3 linked regions of the Mus musculus genome follow. The protein of the gene in region 1 purifies or fractionates together with the protein of each later gene. This does not show direct contact. Links are inferred from orthologs where the notes say so. Each region holds a gene or a part of one and is shown on either strand. Other genes may lie near its edges.

The links. The genes of interacting proteins can lie anywhere in the genome.
Region 2: the proteins of Ppp2r2b (region 1) and Sertad4 purify together in Homo sapiens (co-immunoprecipitation; 3 studies listed by BioGRID and IntAct, with this or other methods). This does not show direct contact. The link is inferred for Mus musculus from reciprocal best matches to the Homo sapiens genes PPP2R2B and SERTAD4.
Region 3: the proteins of Ppp2r2b (region 1) and Ppp2r1a purify together in Homo sapiens (co-immunoprecipitation; 9 studies listed by BioGRID and IntAct, with this or other methods). This does not show direct contact. The link is inferred for Mus musculus from reciprocal best matches to the Homo sapiens genes PPP2R2B and PPP2R1A.

What each region holds. Positions count from the first base shown.
Region 1 is NC_000084.6:42,896,709-42,900,651, reverse strand, and holds the start of Ppp2r2b (serine/threonine-protein phosphatase 2A 55 kDa regulatory subunit B beta isoform), read left to right. Parts: upstream 1-1,143; 5' UTR 1,144-1,837; coding exon 1,838-1,907; intron 1,908-3,943. UniProt on the Homo sapiens protein: The B regulatory subunit might modulate substrate selectivity and catalytic activity, and might also direct the localization of the catalytic enzyme to a particular subcellular compartment.
Region 2 is NC_000067.6:192,845,753-192,849,252, forward strand, and holds part of Sertad4 (SERTA domain-containing protein 4), read right to left. Parts: intron 1,464-3,500; coding exon 621-1,463; 3' UTR 1-620.
Region 3 is NC_000083.6:20,962,454-20,966,405, forward strand, and holds the end of Ppp2r1a (serine/threonine-protein phosphatase 2A 65 kDa regulatory subunit A alpha isoform), read left to right. Parts: intron 1-120; coding exon 121-263; intron 264-2,785; coding exon 2,786-2,877; intron 2,878-3,001; coding exon 3,002-3,018; 3' UTR 3,019-3,452; downstream 3,453-3,952. UniProt on the Homo sapiens protein: The PR65 subunit of protein phosphatase 2A serves as a scaffolding molecule to coordinate the assembly of the catalytic subunit and a variable regulatory B subunit.

The DNA of each region.
Region 1 (3,943 bases):
TTATAGTCCGTCTGGATCATAGTGGTTCACTTTGGTCCCAGCCTCTCTTCTGCATTCATGGACTTAACATGCTGAGGGCACACGGAAGGTATTCTGAACACCTGAGCAGAGACGCTTCCTGTGTCTGTTCAAAACAAAACGCAAAGGGCTATGGAGAGTGGGCTCCTTCTCGCTGAATAAATATATTCATCCATAACTCGCCCTGTCTGCGGGCATAGACTGTGCTCTGCCTGTGGACACCGGCGCGTTTCGTTTCTTCCTTCCTTCCTTTCTTCCTTCCTTCCTTCCTTCCCTTCTTTCTTTCTTTCTTTCTTTCTTTCTTTCTTTCTTTCTTTCTTTCTTTCTTTCTTTCTTCTTCTTCTAATTCTTCTTCTTCTTCTTCTTCTTCTTCTTCTTCTTCTTCTTCTTCTTCTTCTTCTCTCTCTCTCTCTCTCTCTCTCTCTCTCTCTCTCTCTCTCTCTCTAGACAGGGTTTCTCTGTGTAACCCTGGCTGTCCTGGAACTCACTCTGTAGACTAGAGGCCATCTGCCTGCCTCTGCCTCCCAAGTGCTCGGATTAAAGGCATGCGCCACCACTGCCCGGCGGTGCGGGTTCTGAACACCAGTTCCTCACAGTTAGATGTTAGCCTGCTTGGAAAGAAATCGGACAGGATGGCAGTCTCGAAGTTCTGGCCCCTGCTCTGCTTTCTAGTCCAAGCCGGGGGGCTAAGCTGTGAATAAAGCTCACCCTTTAACTTCAGCTCAAGGGGCAGTCTACATCATATCCAGTTAACAAAGGAGACCTAGGTGCTGACTTCTACCCAAAGGAACCTACTTCTAAACACTGTCCTGAATGAAGTGCAGGCAGGTGTAAGGAGCAAAGCAGTGAGCTAAGGGCCTCCGTGCACAAGCCAGCCCCTGCCCTTGGCTGTATGGCACCAGAGGGGAAAGATTGGAACAGCTCATCCACGCCTTGTTTTTTCAGTGAACCAGCAATCTACCATTCGTTGTCCAGGTGTCCTTGGCTGCCGCTTGCACCCCTCTGCAGCAGAGAGCAGCCACAGCCTCTGCCTGGACTCCCACTGCTGCTGGGGAAGAGTCCCGGGGCTGCTGACGCGGTTGGGAGGAGCCTCGCCTTTAATGCACCAGCCGCCTCCAGCCTCCTGCAGCAGGAGCAGCAGCACCAGCAGCAGCTGCGAGTGCGCCCCTGTGGGTGTGAGGGTGAGAGCGCTGGCGCTGGCCGCAGCGCCCAGCCTAGCTCCCCGCCAGCTTTCCTAGCCCCCGCCTGCGGGAGCCGCCCTCTCGTGGGACCAGCACCCTCATCTCAGCAAGGCAAGCCTGAATCCTGCCCCTGCCATCTCGCCACTGCAGTGTGGGTCCGGAAAGGCACCATTTTGTCGCGGCTGCCCGCTCTCCCAGGGGGAGGAAAGCTCTTATTTTTTGCATTTTGGAGCCGCTGCCTGCCAAGGGGAACCTGTTGGGCATCTCCCCAGCCCTACTTGGGAACGTCTCCTGAGCGGTCAGGCAGGACTAGACCCCTCGTGGGGGACACAGAGCTTCCTGGTACCCGGAGGCAGAGGAGGCAGACGCAGCATCCTCGTTGGGAATTGGAGCTGAAGTGAGCGCACCGTGCGGGAGGAGCCACCGCATCCGCGGAGAACCGAGTGGAGGAGGTGACAGCTCCATTGCCGGGTTTTTATTTTCTTCTCTCTCCGCCTCCCCGTCTCCTCCTCAGGCTCGGACCATGGTGCAGTCCCACTGGCTCCCCTGCCCCCCTCTCCTGTGAGACTGGCTGCGGGGTGGGATCATGGATACTTGTCTGCCGGCTTCTGGTTCCCACGCAAGTAAGCCTGCTGTCAATGGAGGAGGACATTGATACCCGCAAAATCAACAACAGTTTCCTGCGCGACCACAGCTATGCAACCGAAGGTAATGCCAGCTCGGCCGCATTCCGCCGCTGGGGTCGGGTGCAAGTTGCGGATAGCCCTGCTTCATCAGTGGCCAGGCGCCTAGTGGCAGAGACTACTCCAGGCTCTGGGGCTGGAGCACTGGGCGGGGGCTCAGGCTAGGCTCTCGCTCAAGCCGCCAGAGGGGTTAGGGGTAAGGCAAATCCATCCGGGCTGGGCTCCGTGACTAGAGCCCCATGTTCAGCAGCAGGTGGACCAGGTACCCCCGGGAGTTAAAATGGCCTTTAGGGATGAGGCTTTTCAGGGTGCGGCTCCCAGGCAGACAGATGAACCCAAGGAAGCAGATGACACCTTCTTGTCCCAAGATGCTTACAAGAATCTTGGACTGAGATGAGAAGGGAGGGGCCCAGGAAGACCATGGTCCACCCCTCTCTGGGTACAGTGATGCTGAGGCTCTCGGTGACTGCAGCAAGAGTACAGCTTCATTTCTTGCCCATTCATTTCTCCGGCTCACTGGTTTACCTGCTCAGACAATCAACCCCCCCCTCCCCTAAAGGCCTTTCAGCAAAAAGTAGGGGAGCCCTCTCCCCTTGAAAAAACATTAGCCAGAAATTTTTAAAAAGGTAGCTGGGGAATCATGATTCGCGGCGGACGAATGAGGCTGACACGTGGGGCGAGCAGCGGGATCTGGGTCCGTGGGGCCTTTAAAAATCACCATTATGAATTCTGCAGCAGTACTTTCTGCTGAATCAACAGCCAGCAGAAAGCAGGAGGGTTCAGCAAGCTGAGCTTTGCCAAGAGGTGAAATTGTGTTCGCTCACTCTCTGGCTTGCTGGCTCTCTCTCCTTTCAGCCAGCTCGCTCTGACATCAGCCTAAATGCTGGGCAGGCAGGCAGGCAGGCAGGCAGGGAAAGTCAGCAGGTGGACTGCATCTTGCTCTTTGTGTACGAACTGAGTAAAGACGGTTTAGTTTTATTTGAATGACAAAACTTTTGCATTCGAGCTTCATTTTCTACCTGTGGGTGTTGATTTTTGACAACTAATATGAAGTATTGGAATCCCCGTGGCAATGTCCATGTGAGAAAATGCGTGCAGAAGTGCTTAGGGAAAATGTAGCAAGGCATATTAGCCTGTGACCCTTCTAGAATGCTAAAATTTCAGTAAGATTGGGTCACATCAGAAGAATGCACTGGATCAAGTAAGGGTGCGAGCTCTGAGGGAAATGGAAAAACTCATATACGGAGGGGAGGGCAACGGTAGCACCTTCTACAAAGATCTCTGGAAATTTTAGACAGAAGAATTCCAAGTGCTGTTGAAAATACTTTCGCCATTCATCACCATGTCTGGGAACCAGCAAGCCCAACGTGTCTGTAGTACTCAGACACACTGTAAGCTCGAAACCTTGGAGATGATTTCTTTTTAAGATGGACCACCCATCTCTGTCCCATGTTGAATAGCATTCTTGCTGATTCTTAAAAATCTTTCACAGCCGTGGTGTGATTATAAGTCTTTGTGCTTTATGACTGAGCATGACCAGGTAGCAATGACATCCAGTCATGCCATCCACCAGAGAGGTCAGTCTTGAATCTGTGAGCTTTGTGGTGGCTAGGAAGCTTTGTATTTGTGACTACAAAGAAAGAAGGTTCCCCCTGGTGTTTTCTTCTGTTACATTATGCAAGAAGGGGAAACCTAACAAACCAAGAAGGTGACTACATTGAAGCCAGGTGTATAAGAACGTTACTTGCAGGAGGAAGAAGTTTAAGATGGCATCCTTTATTGTTTCCAAGGTCCTGGATGCTACCTGTGTACCTATTCAGTGGCATTTTTATACATTCCAATTCTGGGTGGAATATTTAACAATGAAGCAAGGGTTTTTAATCAAAGAGCTTTAAATGTTTTCTGGTATATACAAATCAATCTATTAAACCCCTGTATATGGTCTTAGGGAAGGCATGGGAAGAGTGGGAAATGGAACAGAGCAAGAAGTTCTCTAATAGTCTCGGTCTGTGCATTTCATGGAGTATCCATTTCGTTGAGTCAGACAGTAAGGAAAGAGCC
Region 2 (3,500 bases), on another chromosome or scaffold:
AGCCACCCACTACCCATCACAGGCAAGCAAGGAGCTTGTGGGGAACTGTCTCCACAGATCCTAGATTGCTGTCTTGCCAGGTGCGCTTCATTTTGCCCCAACCTGTCCAGTACAAACATGACACAGCTCATGAAACCACTTCATCTAGCTTCCTGTCTCCAGTCTTTTACTCAGGAAAGAAAAATACTGCATCACATCGAAGCAGGCACCTCTGCTGGTTATATTGATTTGTTTACCAAGTAACTACCTAATTAACTGGCAAACATGTTGCATTTGGCTAGCGCAGGTTCCTTGGAGGGGCAGTGGGAATATAACGAGGGCATGTTTTCTTCTATCTATTCTACTGATTTTTTTTTACAAAAAAAAAAGAAAAGAAAAAAGAAAAAGAAAAGAAAACTAAGGTATACTTTGAAACATGAAGTTGGCTTTCCTTGGCAAAAAATCACATGAATAAGTGGCTTGCAGATGCCTACTGTACAGATGTTTTGTGCAATCTGATCTCCAGGCAATGAGACAACCCGGCGTGGTGTTCACTGCATGATTTTATCTGTTGTACAAAACTACAAAATCCAAAGTAAAAACTGATCATGCTGTGCGTGCTTCCGCGCCAGTGGGGGGCATCACATTTTACCCCCTCTGTTGCAGCACAGTTTGCTGCTCGGAGAAAGCTCCTTTTTCCTCAAAGACTTTTTCCAAGACTCACTCACACGGTTTCTCTCATTATATCCAGTCTCAAAATAATCGTAAAATTGGCCTTTGCACTCAAAATCAAGGTCGTTCCCCACAGGTTCTTGGCCGAGGGCATCACCATCTCTGCTGGTTTCGTGACTTACTTTCCCATCATTGTTGAATTTGACCTTTTCCTGGACACCAAGCGACCTAATGTTAGTGACAAAGATTTCGCTGGCGGGTATTTGGCTCTTGTAAATAGGTGCACTGCCTATGTCAAAGTCCACATGGTGGGAGCAACTAGGCAAAGGCAGAGGGGAAGAGGAGGAGGAGGAGGAGGAGGAAGAGGGAGAGGGAGAGGGAGAGGAGGATGAGGATGGGGAGGATGAAGAAGAGGTGGATGGGGAGGAAGAGGAAGAGGCAGCCGAGGCCACAGCGGCGGCCGAGGTGCTTCCAACACTTGTATTGACAGAGAGGGGTAGGTTCAGGCAGTGACCACCACACTCCTGATAAAAACAGCAAGTGTGGATCTTTTCCCACTCCTCTTTGGCCACCCGGGGCCGTTTCCGGTAAGGACAGTCTTGAGCCAGGAACCACTCTTGGGCGGGGGTGCCACCGAGGGAGCAGGCAGGGAGGCACCAGCTGTTCTGCATGACAATCTCCCCGTGGATCCTCTTCATCAGGTTGTTGATCAGAACAGACCTTCGCAGGTACACTTCTGGGTCATCGATGAACCTGAGCTTCTCCAAGGACATGTAAAGGATGTGTGCTCGCTCCTCGAAAATGGAGATGGTCTGAAAACCAGAGGCAGGAGAACCCTTATGAAACAAAGCTTGTGAAAAGAGTATCACTCGTTTAGAGGCTGGCCCCATTGCGGTGGATACCCCCAAACCCTCCTGTTTCCTAACTTACTAGTGTGGACCTGAGGAGGGCCCAGCCAGAAGGCTCAGTCACAGTGAAGGAGAAGCTTAGACACAGTCAACCAGAGCTGTCAGAGCTCAGGCCAGTAATTGTTGTGGGGGTCAGAGGTCAGGCCAGCAATTGTTGTGGAGGTCAGAGGTCAGGCCAGCAATTGTTGTAGGGTTAAGAGCTAGGTAATCTGAAGCAGCACTGAGAGGATTCAGCTAGACCTCGCTGTCAGTGACAAGGGATGCTCTGGGTGAAATATATCAAGCTATAGTTCACATGTCTTTGTGCAGAGGCACATGCATGCATTTCACAGCAGTATGTTTTAAAATTCACCCATTTTTCAAAGAGTCTTACTACTATTAATTGATTTTTTTGAGACATGGTCTCTCTATTATGCATCCTTGGCTGACCTGGAACTCATTATGTAGACCAAGCTAGCCTTAAATTCAGAGAGATCTGCCTGCCTCTGTCACCTGGATGGAATTAAGGTCTGTGCCATCCGTAACAGTTGAAAATCATTTTTATGTGTATGAGTGTTTGTCAGCACGTTTGTCTGTGCACTATGTGAGTGCCTGATCCCCATCCGTGAGAGGCAAGAAGAGGACACTGGACTCTGTGGAATTTGAGTTACATTCAGTTGTGAGCTGCCAAATGGGTGCTGGCAAATAGAACTCAGGTCCTCTGCAAAAGCAGCCAGTGCTCTGAACTGCTGAACCATCTCTCCAGCCCCAGCGCATGTCTTTTACAGATTTGAGATACAGGTTCTAGTGGGCATGGCAGAGTGTGGATGAGGCCACCAAGGAACACTGCTGGCTTTGCATACCTGTCGTCTGCCTTATTAAGTAAGAGGGAAAGTACAGCCAATGAAGCTCAAACTAAGCACCTGGAAACGGAGGGCTTTGGGGCAGAAAATAGAGAAGCAGAGAGAAACTGGGGGTGGGGGATGGGGGGGGTCAGTCCTGGGCTGTGTGAGGCTGTCACTGGGTGAAGGATGCTGCAAAACCATTAAAAATTGTTATTATCGATAACTTGTTTTTGTAAAAATAAAATAAAAACGAGACATGGCTTTGCTATGTAGCCTATGCGGCCCTGGACCTCACAACAGAGCCCAGACTGAACTTGCAGCAATTCCACCTGCCCTCCTTTCAAGTGCTGGGATCACAGGATGTGACATGAAACCTGGCACATCCCAGTAGCAACTGGAAAACTCACGGAGCCACAACACAGAAGCTAAAGAAATAAACATGGGTGCCTTTTTACAAACAGGCAGAAGCAACATCTGAAGGCTGGGGAAGGGTGGGAGAGGGGAGACAGAATGAATGGGTTGCATAGGGCCTCAGCACCTGGGCCACTGGGCTCTGGCTGCTCCTCCTTGGTAAGGTCAGTGGAGGTCTGGAGGGAAGGCACTGTATGGAAGAAGAACTAATGCTCTCATGCCCAGCTCTTCACCTCATGGGCTTTCCCCCTACGGTGTTATTTCTTTACGTTTGTCAAAAGAAAAATAGCTATCTTTGTTTCCTTCCTTGGGAATGAATTCTGAATTTTGACAAACTTGACATATGCTAGGATATATCAGGAAGAGCATGACTGCTTTCTGTGCATGCATCCAAGGGACGATTCATTGACCTCAGGAGGTCAGGAAAACCCCAATTAGCATAAGCAGTGGCCTCGCAGTCAAGTGCATCTCCACCACATGATACGACAGAGCAGCCCTATCCCTCAACCTGGGAATATTAAACCACAGGCAAAAGGATGTGTTTCCTTACGTAATATTATATCTGGGGAGAGAATCTCTTTCTGGTTCTTTCTTCAAGGAGTGTGAGAAGGAACACAGCCTCTGTCCTAGTTAGGGTTTCTAGTGCTGTGAGGAAGCACCACAGCCAAAAAGCAAGCTGGGGAGGGAAAGAGTTTGTTAGGCTTAC
Region 3 (3,952 bases), on another chromosome or scaffold:
ACCCTTCCATGTTGCTCCTGGGTCCTGATGATGACTCAGGCAGCATATTCAGAAGAAGATATATGGGGACTTAGCAGTAAGCCTTGCATAACTGTACTTCTGCCATTCACTGGTTTTCAGGTGTTGTCTGAGGTCTGTGGACAGGATATCACCACCAAGCACATGCTGCCCACAGTTCTTCGTATGGCAGGGGACCCAGTTGCCAATGTCCGCTTCAATGTGGCCAAGTCACTCCAGAAGATAGGACCCATTCTTGATAACAGGTGAGGTCTGGGGGTTCTAAACATCTTAGATATTTAAAGACAGAACTCAGGGTCTGATTTCTTTATGCGTTGTGACCCATGCCTGTTCTTTCCTCTCCACAAAGTCTATCTTCTCTGTTTTAGAATAAGAATTCATTTCTCTAGAGTACAATGAAAAAAGAAAGGCAGAGGCAGGTGGATTTCTGAGTTCGAGGCCAGCCTGGTCTACAGAATGAGTTCCAGGACAGCCAGAGCTATAGAGAGAAACCTTGTCTCAAAAAACAAGAAGAAAAAAAAAATACATGTAATGAAATATACTTAACATTTCTAGGGAAACTATTAAGCACTGCCACAGGAAGCTTTGGTAAACATATAGTCTTCATTCCCTGTACTTATATTTGAGGCCATTATATATCAGCAGAGTTTTAGTAGGAACTGGCCTGGGAATGCAGAGTGCTTGGCTAGCCCATACATCCTAAAGAACAAAACTATGCACCTCAAGTCTACCTGACACATAATTTAGAAACAGCATGGGGCAGGGACAGGATATTCATGTCTCACTAGAATATTTTCTAGAGCACTCTGGTACCATTGTAGTTTGATGGCTAAGTGTCTGTCTTCTAAAACTGACTGGATCAGTTGGTTGCCCACATAAACCCAAACAGAATTTCTGCCTCTACATAAACAAATTAGTTTTTGAGCTAGAACCAGCATGATGAATAAAACATGTAGAAAATATAGAATGTCTTCATGTCTTGAGTTGGACATAAACCTGCTAAGATGCCAAAAGAAGTGATTGATAAGATGGCCCTCAAGAAAATGAAAAGCTGTGTATCAGAAGGCTAACCTGACAGTGTGGAGATGTTTCTATATAAAGAACTCCTCTAGTATCCTATATATAGGAAGATAAAGAATTCCCATGATACACATGGGAAGAAGACATAGAGGAAAGTATGGCATATGACATTCAAGTGGGAGTATGGGAAGATGAGAGCTACAAGTAGGGTTGAGAGAGGGGAGGAAGGAAGGTAGTCAAAATTAATATATGTGAAAATATGAGAATGAGGTAACTTGTGCTTTTGTTTCAGTTTAAAAGTACTGTCTTCACATGCTCAGTGAGGACATCGACTAGGTGCTCTGCAGTGTACGCTGTTAACATAGCACAGGTTACAGCTGAAATACTCGGCTGAACATCGTGCTATGGGAATTGTAGTGCAGATAGGATGAGCATTTTAACTGGAAGGATCCAGCTAGCTAGATGTAGACCCTAATCCAGCCCTTGCTTTTAGACAGTACTCAGTGTTGCTACCCCCTCAACCCCTTGAAAATGTGGTGGGCTTATATATTATAATCATAAGAAAGAATAATCCAAATGCTGGTACAGAGTATGAGTTAAAATAGTTAATATGGGTCTGGAGAGATAATGGTTCAGGGGTTAAGAGCACTAGCTTCTCTTGAGAGGGCCTGGACTTATCTCACATCATGTGTACTTAAGATCACTCATGCTTTTAATTCTAGTTCCCATCTCGGGCTTCTGAAGACATACAGATGGTGTCCATTCACATGCACATGTGCCTGGGCGCACACACACAAACACACACACACACACACACAGCAGGGAAGAGGAATGCAAAGAGTGCGGGGTGGGGGGGGTTGGGGGGCAGAAAGAATATTCGAGGGAAAAAGTCAAAATGCTAGGCACAGTGGTAGGCAGCTGCTGAATTCCCAGCACACTCTGGTGGTTGATGCTTGAGGGTCGAGTTGTAGACCAGGATGGGATATGTAGCTTGAGATAACATAAAGTTATATAGAAAGACCTGCTTCCCAAAAAGTAACAAAGCAAGCAAGCAAATAACAACAAAAGCATAACTCTAGGAGGTAGAAATGAAGACAGTGGTTATATGGAGGATAGAGGAGCGGTCTGCCAACATTTGATGCCTGTGTGTCTCATAGTTGCTCCACAGCCTTTCTCTCCAAGGTCTGTCTTCCTTCCTTACAGGATAGGCATATTCCTCCATGTCTCCTTACATAAAGAGTATATGCCACTTCTAGGCCCCTTAAAACCAAGAAGCCTTTGATCATCTTGCCACTTACTGGCCTTGTCTTGTAGTCTTGGCTTATCTGAGCAAGAATCTAGAGTGATATATTTTTGTATTCATACTAAGTATACAATACCTCAGTGAACATGGATTCAGTCACTAAAGGAATCTTTTTGCTCAGCTTCAAGGCCTGTGGGCTCTACTTTGTCAGACTTGCTCATGTCCTGTGCTAACCCAAGAGCTTTCCCTGCTTAACTATTTGATTACAAGCCTAGAGATCAGGAATTTTCCATGTGTATGCTTTGTGTGTTCATGTTCTATACTCTGCCTTATGATTTGGTGTGTTCCTGTCTTGATACTTACCTTCACCGGAGCCCTCTTTCTACCTGTGGGCACAACTCCTCCACCCCACCCACCCCCGAACACACACACACACACACACACACACATCCATCCATCCAAGGCAAGACTATCTCACTATCTTCTTTTCCCTTCACTTTCCAGCACCCTGCAGAGTGAAGTCAAGCCCATCCTGGAGAAGCTGACCCAGGACCAGGATGTGGATGTCAAGTACTTTGCCCAGGAGGCTCTGACTGGTAAGGGCCTGAGAGTGTAGAGCCTCTGGCAGAAGGGTGAGGGCTCCGGGGAATGGGGCAGCACTCAGAAATGTGGTTGGAGAATGTGGTGTGGTTCTGAGGCGTATTGTTCTTGTTTCCCCAGTTCTCTCTCTTGCCTGATGCTGGAAGAAGAAGCATTGCCGGCCTCTGGTGTCCACCCTCCAACCCCCACAAAGTTACCTCCCTTAGGGAGGTGGTGGGGGCAAATGACTGTCACTCCCTGTGCATGGTCTGACCCCAGGCTCCTCCCCCAGCACGGTTCGGTTCCTCCTCTGTAGCCTGGGAAGACTTCTCTGTCCACCTCCCAAGGGGCTGGAGCAGTACAAGTTGTTGCAGGACAGCAGCCTGAAAAGAAGGGCTGGTTGTTCCTGCCCATATTGGGAGAGATGGGAGCATCCTAGGTCACTGGCTTTTGCTGCTGTAATGGGGACCCCTCCCCCATCTACTTACCACCACCCTTTCCCAACCCCAACCATGTTTTTTGTGTGTCAATTGTGCCATTTTTATTTTATTCCTTTCCCTACTGTACACGGAGAAATAAAGGTGTAGAAATACTTGGTTCTCTAGTCTTAGTAATCGGAATGGAGGAAAGCCCACTGCCTTGTGGCTTGTTCTTTGCTTTCTCTGAGGAGACCTTCCTGCAGATGTCACTCCTGCTATCACAAGAGCGTGCACTTGGGATCCAGCAGGAGGGCAGCAGGAGACACAGCAGTATCCAGAGACTGCTCAGGGCAATGTCCTGTGATGCAGTTCAGGTTTTCAGGCACTGGCAGAGCAGAGTTCTCAGATTTGGACCGCATAACTGAGATAGCACCTGTGAGTGTGTGTGGAGCTCCCCATTTCCTGTGCCGTCACTTTGGGTGGTGAATCCATATGTAGCTCTGCAGGCCAAGCCTGCCTACCAGGAGATTTGGTTAGGGCCCTGTGAAAAGTCTCCGCACACACCTACACCAGTGCTTTGTAGGAAGTCTTTATGAAGATAGAACCAGCCAGGCACCACCATGTTCTCTCTCCATAGATTTTTCCAACCAAAATCAGAAATCCTGTTTAAAAA